2 linked regions of the Nothobranchius furzeri genome follow. The protein of the gene in region 2 interacts with the protein of the main gene of each other region in a biochemical or structural test. Links are inferred from orthologs where the notes say so. Each region holds a gene or a part of one and is shown on either strand. Other genes may lie near its edges.

Region 1 (4,046 bases), on a different chromosome or scaffold from region 2:
CCGTGGAGAGAGGGCTTTCTCTGTCTGTGCACCGAAGCTGTGGAACGCATTACCACTGCTAGTGAGGCTAGCACCAACAGCTAGCATTTTTAAATCACGCCTGAAAACTCACTACTTCAACCTAGCTTATACAACATAATTATGAACCTCACTGACATCTGCACTGTTTATAAACTGACTCCACAATTATCGACTTCCGTATTATTGAGGTTCTTTGTAAAATGTTTTTTCCTATTTTTACTTCACCCTGTGTCTTATTGATTTTTAGCTGTTATTTTTGGGAATTTTGTTGTATTTCCTTTTTATCTTTTATCTGTGTTCGACATGTTTATATAACGCCTGTTTAATTAACCAACATTTTTAGTGTACAGCGCCTTGTTTGGTTGTAATGCCTTGTGAATGCGCTTTATAAATAAAATTGGATTGGATTGGATTGGATATGGTACCAGCTAACGTCCTACGGTACCTCTTAGCCAATAGCGGTGTCAGATTCTGAGCAACTACAGCAATCAATTTCCCTCTGGGATTAATAACGTATTTTTGAACTGAATTTAATTAAAATTCAAATGCAGTGCAGAGTTTTTACCCGACAACAGCACAACACTGACAGTTTTAGGCAGAAAATTTAAATTTTAACTAAATTGCACTAAAGTGCAAAACTATTGACTGCATGTGTCTGCAGCATGATTAGACACGCATTTATATAGTTTATCAGGGAAAAAAAGGTTGATTTGGGGTGACTTGCTCTTTAACAACAGCCTCATCACTCCTACTAAATTTTGGCTTGCCATTGTTAAAACAAAATACAGAAAGACAAAATTGCGAAATTGCCCATCTGGATAAAGTGAATTTGATTGGGGTTAGAAAATAAGTAATCATTCATCTATCACCCACATGCAGTAAGTAGCTATTTTCATGTCACTAAAATGCATTAATGTTTTACTGAACTGAAGAGGGAATTGGGGGCCCAGTGTATCCCATATTTGTCAATCTTAGTATTTTTATACGCTTTTTCGATAAGCCTAAGCACTTTTGAAACCTGTACTTTTTACTTCTACCCAAGTATCATGCTTGAATTGATCCTTCAACTTCAACAGAAGTCTTTAAACCCCCTAGTATCTAAACTTGAGTAGTAAATATGTATATTTTTAAAGCCTCTGTTCTGTAGTCAATAAAATGACCCTTAAAATAGAAATCGTGACACTACCGACAGTGCCATTGTAGTTTTTAAACGAAAGCTCGCGATAGTAACTGTTTTCTCGGCACCGAGAAGAGAGAGGAATAGAAAGCTAAATATCTAAGTTGTTTTGTAGCTCTCTGACGAACCGAAAATTAATAGGTCGTGGGGAAATATTTGTCATAGAGCGAAAAAGCCGAAATTTACTGGATGTTAGACGTAATTTCATACCTGTAACTGAAGTGAGGTTTGATAGAACGCGGCTACAGAATCCAAATTGTATGTCTAAGGTGCTAACTGTTAGCTGACAGGCTACCTAGCATAGCCGCCGAAGCAATGGCGTTGAAAAGAATTCAGAAGGTGAGTGTTTATATTTATTAAGTTTAAGACATGATTCAGATTCGATTTTTCTTCCTCTTTTCGAACCGTTTTGATAAAGTACATGTGTGTGGTGTTTTAGAGGTGAACTAGCTACGCCGTTGAGCGTTTTGTTCATTTAAAAAATAATTCAAAGACAAAGGCGAGCTGACCAACGGTGGCCCGGTTTGTGCTTGGCTAACATTAACGTAACTACCCAATTAAGCTTTCATTTGGGTTATTACATCCTGCTCGTCTGACATTTTTCATATTAATCCTGAAACTTTGATAAGGACTCTGGAGTAAGAAGTTGTTACTGTTACTTCGTGGGAGGTTAGCTTTCCTGCTAACGGTTGTAACGTGTAGTCCTTGCCTGGATTTTGTTCTTGATCACTAATTTATCAGTCACATTTATCGTTTTAGTTTACCTTGTAAAATTATGTATGACGACGTATAAATTCGCTGAATGACAGCTGCTCGATTGTTGCCAAAACTGAACCCTAGAGTCAGTGTTGCCATATATGGAATGGCAAATGGGGCACTGGAACAGGCCATGGTGTGTATTTATATAATAGGCTTCCTTACATGAGATGTTAAATAACAGGCTTAATTTCTGTTCAAGCACCGTGTTTTGCTGTCTGTGCTTTTGTGTGTGATGCAAATGTAGATTGGTTACTTGGGCTGTGGACTGAGTTAATTTGATTTAGTTTCGTTTTTGTCCATTTTGTGTTGTATTTTTAATATTTGTAGTTATTATGTGTTTGCTAAACTAAACAGCTTGTCCTTATTTTCTGGAAGTATGTCTATAAAACAACATTTTGTGTTGCACAATGATGTCATGTCTGAAGTTGAATTTTATTTGTACTGAAGATAAAAGAGGAAAAGTGTTGCAAATAGGGCTGCACTGTGCATCGCAAATGTATCGTCATCACACTATCAGCATACACAATACTCATATTGCAAAGAACAGAAAAAAACTGCAATAAAGGATCATCTTAATTTTTTTCTACACATAATAAAGCATATTGTCAGTCAAACTGAAGCATTACGTTTTTGACTGATCAAATAGTCCTTCACCTGTTTGGCCAATTGGGTGAGTTCTTATAGGTTAGATACCGCCACCTAGGTAGACAGCACTTCATTTGGATGGCTAGCAAACACCAGAGTTAGCTGTGTTCTGCTCTTTCTGCCGACTATTCTTTTCCTGGGATCCCCTGAGTCTTTATTTTATTTTTATGATTTGGTTTTTGATACATTTTTTTTGTTCTTGAGTTACTATTTATGTATTGCAAGTCATATAATCATCGCAAAAATAATCACTGTAATTGTGCATCGTAGGTTTTCCTAATATTGTGCAGCCCTAGTGTTAAATACATTGTTTTGCAGGAACTTCAACCACAAGTTGTTGTAGGAATGTATAAATGAATATAAAACTTTGCAGCTCTGACAAATACCTCTCCATATCTTTAAACCGCAGATGTTACAGTGCTTGCTTTAACAGATATGTTCACATAAATGAACCCTGCTGTATGTTTATTGCAGCATTTAATTTGTAACTGTTACTTACACAAGCTGTTGTCTTTTTTTCCCTAATATATGAACTTGAGAAACTGAAAAGGCACATTTTGTAGTAAAAGCATGAAATTCTGCAAAAGTGTTTTAAAGAGCAAGTCAAAGAATGGTGATGTAGGACTTGGGAGTGCAGGCTGCTGCCTGAGGGGTGGTTGGAGACGGTGTCTCCATGCTGCTTTGTTTTGGTCACTTATGTGCGTGAGGCGAGTGGTGTTACGACCCTTCCTGGGGAGTTTGGCTCGTGTGCAAAAAGGAAGGGACAATAACACAGGATTTAAAAGTTAAAATGATGATCAGGTTTATTTACAACAACAACAAAAAACCATAAATCTTTCCATCCACAGGTTGGGAATAATAAAACTAATTCTGCCTGTGGGGAATTAAAACAAAAGTACAAATAACTAGGGATGTCCCGCAGGGCAAAGATTACTGGGTTCTGGACCAAAATAAGAATCTCCAAAGGTCCAAACTCTAAACTGGGTGGTTAAACCAAACTCAAGGTGAAATTTTAAACTAAACCGAAAACCCACGACACTCTAAATGTAATAAAAGGGAGATCTACGCCACAAAAAAGATGAACTCTAAACCAAATCGTAACAGCTTATCCTATCGCAAGAAGCTGTTAGCGAAAATGCTAACAGTAGCTTTACCAACATTAAGTTCAAGTTACCAAGTTTAAATAAACCAAAAATACCCAGCAGCAAACAGACCAGCATGGAGGAGAGACTGCTACCACAAAAACAGCTCTCCTAATGTCTGAAAGAAGCTCCTTTATGAAGGGAGAAACTCTCCCGGTGATTTTCTACATCTGCGGTAGACACGAAGCAGCGCATTTGATCCCAGAAGTTGTTGTCCGTTGCCGGGAGATGAAGGCGGGCAAAACAGGCAAAGAATCTAGTAGCAGACGGACATTGTTCCAGTTCTTCGGTATTTGGCGGAG
Region 2 (3,857 bases):
TGGTGATCTCCAACTTATGCTCGTTCTGGAAAATATGAAAGGACAATCATTAAACTTTTTCAGAAATCAAAATAAAAAAGAGGCAACATGAAAAACTAAAACATACTTTAAAGTAGTCCAAAAACTGTCGGAGTGTCATTTCTTCCCCGTTAGGCTGCAGCCCTGTGACCTCAAAGCGATCCCAGAGCGTCCAGTCGATCTCGTAGTACTGTTAAAAAAGACACAGGTCATCAGGAGCTGCTTGAAATTTCAACACAAACATTTAGACGTTCATAATTTCTGCAATGAATGAAGAGCAGGCTTGTTAAGTTAATCAGTTTCTCCTCAGCACACACTGATACCATCAGCGTGAGAAGGTGAGTTGCACTCATGTACACCCAGACAGACGTCGTGCACCTGCCTGGTGCATCAGTATTAGCATGGCTGGATCATCACCGGAGTCCTAACTTCCCAACACTTTAAAAGAAAGCACAGCAGGTGCACTCACCTTATGTTTGGGAGCAGCGATGGGCTCAGAGAAGCCGAAGAAAGGCAGAGCCAGGTTCATGAACCCGTTTTTGTATGACTCCAGCTTTTTGTGACCTTGGACAATCTTGATGAGCTCCAAGCACACCAGGCCGACCACCGCGGATGTGGTGGTGGCAATAGCAGGAATGATTTTGCCAGCAATCAGTTTGCTCTGGAAGCAGCAGAAGAGATTAGATTAAGGATAAGAAGATAGTTTATAGGGAGAGTGGAGTTTAAACTGCATCAGCCGCTCCTCACCTTGTGTCTGTCAGCAGGTGGAATGTCGTAGTTCTCTGCCCTCAGGTTAGAGGCTGCTACAATGAAGTCCATGTGGAAATTTGTATCGTCGTCCTGTTAAAACAAACCCATGTTCATAAACTAGAGGTGCTGAAAAAAAATCGATTCAAGTCTGAATTGGGATTCTTATTTATAAAGATTCAGAATCGACCCCAAGAACTCAAATGTTTGGCATGTTACAGGTTTGAGATGCACTTTTGTCTGTTTTTTTTTTTAAATCTTTGTTAGGAGAGTTAGTACTCTGTTTACTTTTGTGGTCCCATAAATTGAGATGATTTCTTTTTGAATCTGCTGATAAGTGGGCACTTGAATGTAATTTTTCCATACTAATTAATTTGAGATATTTTCATATTTATTTTCTAAGTTGATAAGTGAGGGCTCAGGATTACTCATGTATTTATTTGAAGTTATTGATAAATGAGAGAACACATTTTCCTTTGTAAGAAATCTAAGGCACTTTTTTAAAACAGGTTGAGGATTCAAATGTTTCCACACATACTTGAAAAGTATTTGACCGTATTACTTTCAAAGCTACTGTCAGGTAACTAAAGATGTGTTATATTTTACAAGGTAAGCAAAAATAAATGTTGCCTTTTAGTCAAAAGATTGCTTCCGTTTACGGTTTTAGAATCACTTTAGTTTACCTTGTAAATTTGCATTTTTTGAGCATGACCAGTTTAAAGTAAAATAAAAATGTCCATAGCTTTAACTAACTTGTACCACAAAGTATTTAATCCTAGAACTGACACTCTTTGTTAGCATTGATTGTGAATTGGTTTAAATCGAGAATCGATTCTGAATCGAACAGACACCCAGAGAATCTAAATCGAATCAAATCTTGAGTTGCTCTAAGATTCATATCCCTATCATACACACACCGGAGCTGAAGGTAATGGCACTTATTCTGATGAGACATTGGCTCTGTTCACTCAGGGAGCCAATAATTACTGTCAATTGTTTTAATTTCCATTTTGAAAGAATCATAATCCTACAGATTAAGTCCTAATATTTTAATCTAATTAATCTGGTTAAAAACAGAACTCAAGACATCAGTAAAGGCAGGATTTGTTTACATAACTGTGACAGCAAAGGGATGCAAATATTTGTAACGTGCCAATAACAGTCTAAAACAACATTTGCATAACCGCTACAGCACACGTCTGAGTACAGAGCACCTTTAACAATAAACTCATTTAGAAGGAAACTTTATTTTAGACTTATTCTCACTTGTAAACCAAGCATTAAACCACACAATAAACAATCCCACTCTAAGCCCAAAGCAGAGAAACACAACGTACCTTTTCAAAGTCAATGGCATTGAGTTTGAACTGGAAAGCCTCAGGCAAAGGCAACTGGGACTTCAGTTCTTCCAGTTTGGAGTCATCTGTACATCGAGAGATTGATGGTTACGTCACTCCCAGATGAATGGTGTAGAGTCAGTGACTTTAAACTTTTCCACATTGGTCTTACCAACAGAGGAATTACTGTTTTGCAGCTCCTGATCAGACACGTGGATTTTTACGCCCGAGCGAGGAGAAAAAATCGGCACCTTAACATCCTGCAAGATCTTGACCACTCCGGCACGGTCGGTGCTGCCTGGCAGGCCGTACGTCTGAGCAAACAGGTTAGCTCCCGCCACGACGTAATCCATGTGAAGCTCCTAAGACCCAACACCATGAATTCTTGATGTGATACAGATATGCTGCAGAGTTATGTTCATTCCTGAAGATCACTAGAAAACACACTTACGTTGCTAGTGCTGAATTCTAAGGGGTGAGGACATCTCTTTGGGCCAGACCAGAAGGGGGCACCTGAGCTCGTGAGCTGGAAGAGATTATGGCTGTTAAGACACAACATTCTAAAATGTATACAATAAATACTGGTGAAGAATTGAGCTAAAAAGGCAGCTGATGTATTAACAATGGTTTATAACATATTAACTGTAGGTGAAGAGTGGCACAAGGTCCATCAGAGGATGGGGACAATCTGGACTCAAACTTCTAACTCAACTTTTCTCCGGCTACAGAAAAAAGTCTGAAGCTAATCCAGACATGACACCAGTATTTACCTGCTGTGGGGGGAAATTGTGCAGTAACTGACGAATGTTGTTGCTGTATTGGCACTGCCAGTGGTTGCGAGCCCAGGCGACGCAGTCAGCCCAGCTGTGGGGACAGTCTGTGACCAGGGTCTTGTACACGGCCTCCAGCACCTCCACAGGTTGAGCTCCAGGGAGTTTTAGAGTGCGCTCCATAAACTTAGGATCTCTGCAAGGTTTACAAGCATAACAGCGGTCATTTTGCATTTTCTCATGACTGTTTAACCAAAGTCAAATCTTACTAGCAGACCTTTTAGCTAATACTTTTAGATATGCTGCTCTGACCACAAACTCCAAAGACACTCAACATCACACAGTAGCTATAACCCAAAAAGTATGACAGACACTCCACAGAGGAAGTAACTTACGTGAGGTACTGCATAGCATTTTCTGGAGACTGTTTGAAAAGTCCCTCGAACTCATCCCGGGCCCACTGAACAGAGAAGAAACAAAGATCAGCCACCAAGTCCACTCATGTTGGAGTTTGCATCATTGAGCTCCTGCTGACCTGCAGTGTGTGCTCGATGGCATTTGGGAAGTTTTTCAAAGTACAGATGGGGATGGACTTCTCAGGGGGGTCTTGGCTGGAGCTGTAGGACTCTGTGAGGAAGGGGATGACGACCTGGACATTGCCTTTGGTACCCAAAGTGCCTGACTCCAACAGGGGTTTACGGTAGTACACACACCTCCGATCCATGTACATGCCTTAGTGTAAGGAATACAAGCAAAGCAACGGAGGTGTAAACACAAACAAGCAGCTATAAAAAGATGGTTTGTAACAGAAAAAAAGCCAAACTGCATTCCTTCATCAGCGTGCGCATGTTTTAAGCAATTTAAAGTTCATCTTACGTGCATCAACATTGTCTAGTGCATTGGCGACGCCATCGAGGCTCTCAAAGAAGTCATCATCGTAGACCTTCTCCGTGTCGGGGCCCACTCGGTTCTGATGGCCTGTGAT

The links. The genes of interacting proteins can lie anywhere in the genome.
Region 1: of the proteins of uba1 (region 2) and ube2d4, one has a biochemical effect on the other in vitro, tested with the Homo sapiens proteins (4 studies listed by BioGRID). The link is inferred for Nothobranchius furzeri from reciprocal best matches to the Homo sapiens genes UBA1 and UBE2D4.

The regions. Positions count from the first base shown.
Region 1 is NC_091757.1:38,230,605-38,234,650, forward strand, and holds the start of ube2d4 (ubiquitin-conjugating enzyme E2 D4), read left to right. Parts: upstream 1-1,246; 5' UTR 1,247-1,513; coding exon 1,514-1,537; intron 1,538-4,046. UniProt on the Homo sapiens protein: Accepts ubiquitin from the E1 complex and catalyzes its covalent attachment to other proteins. In vitro able to promote polyubiquitination using all 7 ubiquitin Lys residues, but may prefer 'Lys-11' and 'Lys-48'-linked polyubiquitination.
Region 2 is NC_091755.1:24,209,608-24,213,464, forward strand, and holds part of uba1 (ubiquitin-like modifier-activating enzyme 1), read right to left. Parts: coding exon 3,749-3,857; intron 3,605-3,748; coding exon 3,408-3,604; intron 3,333-3,407; coding exon 3,268-3,332; intron 3,069-3,267; coding exon 2,873-3,068; intron 2,629-2,872; coding exon 2,554-2,628; intron 2,465-2,553; coding exon 2,275-2,464; intron 2,189-2,274; coding exon 2,103-2,188; intron 859-2,102; coding exon 766-858; intron 680-765; coding exon 488-679; intron 441-487; exon of another isoform or gene 320-440; intron 209-319; coding exon 107-208; intron 26-106; coding exon 1-25. UniProt on the Homo sapiens protein: Catalyzes the first step in ubiquitin conjugation to mark cellular proteins for degradation through the ubiquitin-proteasome system.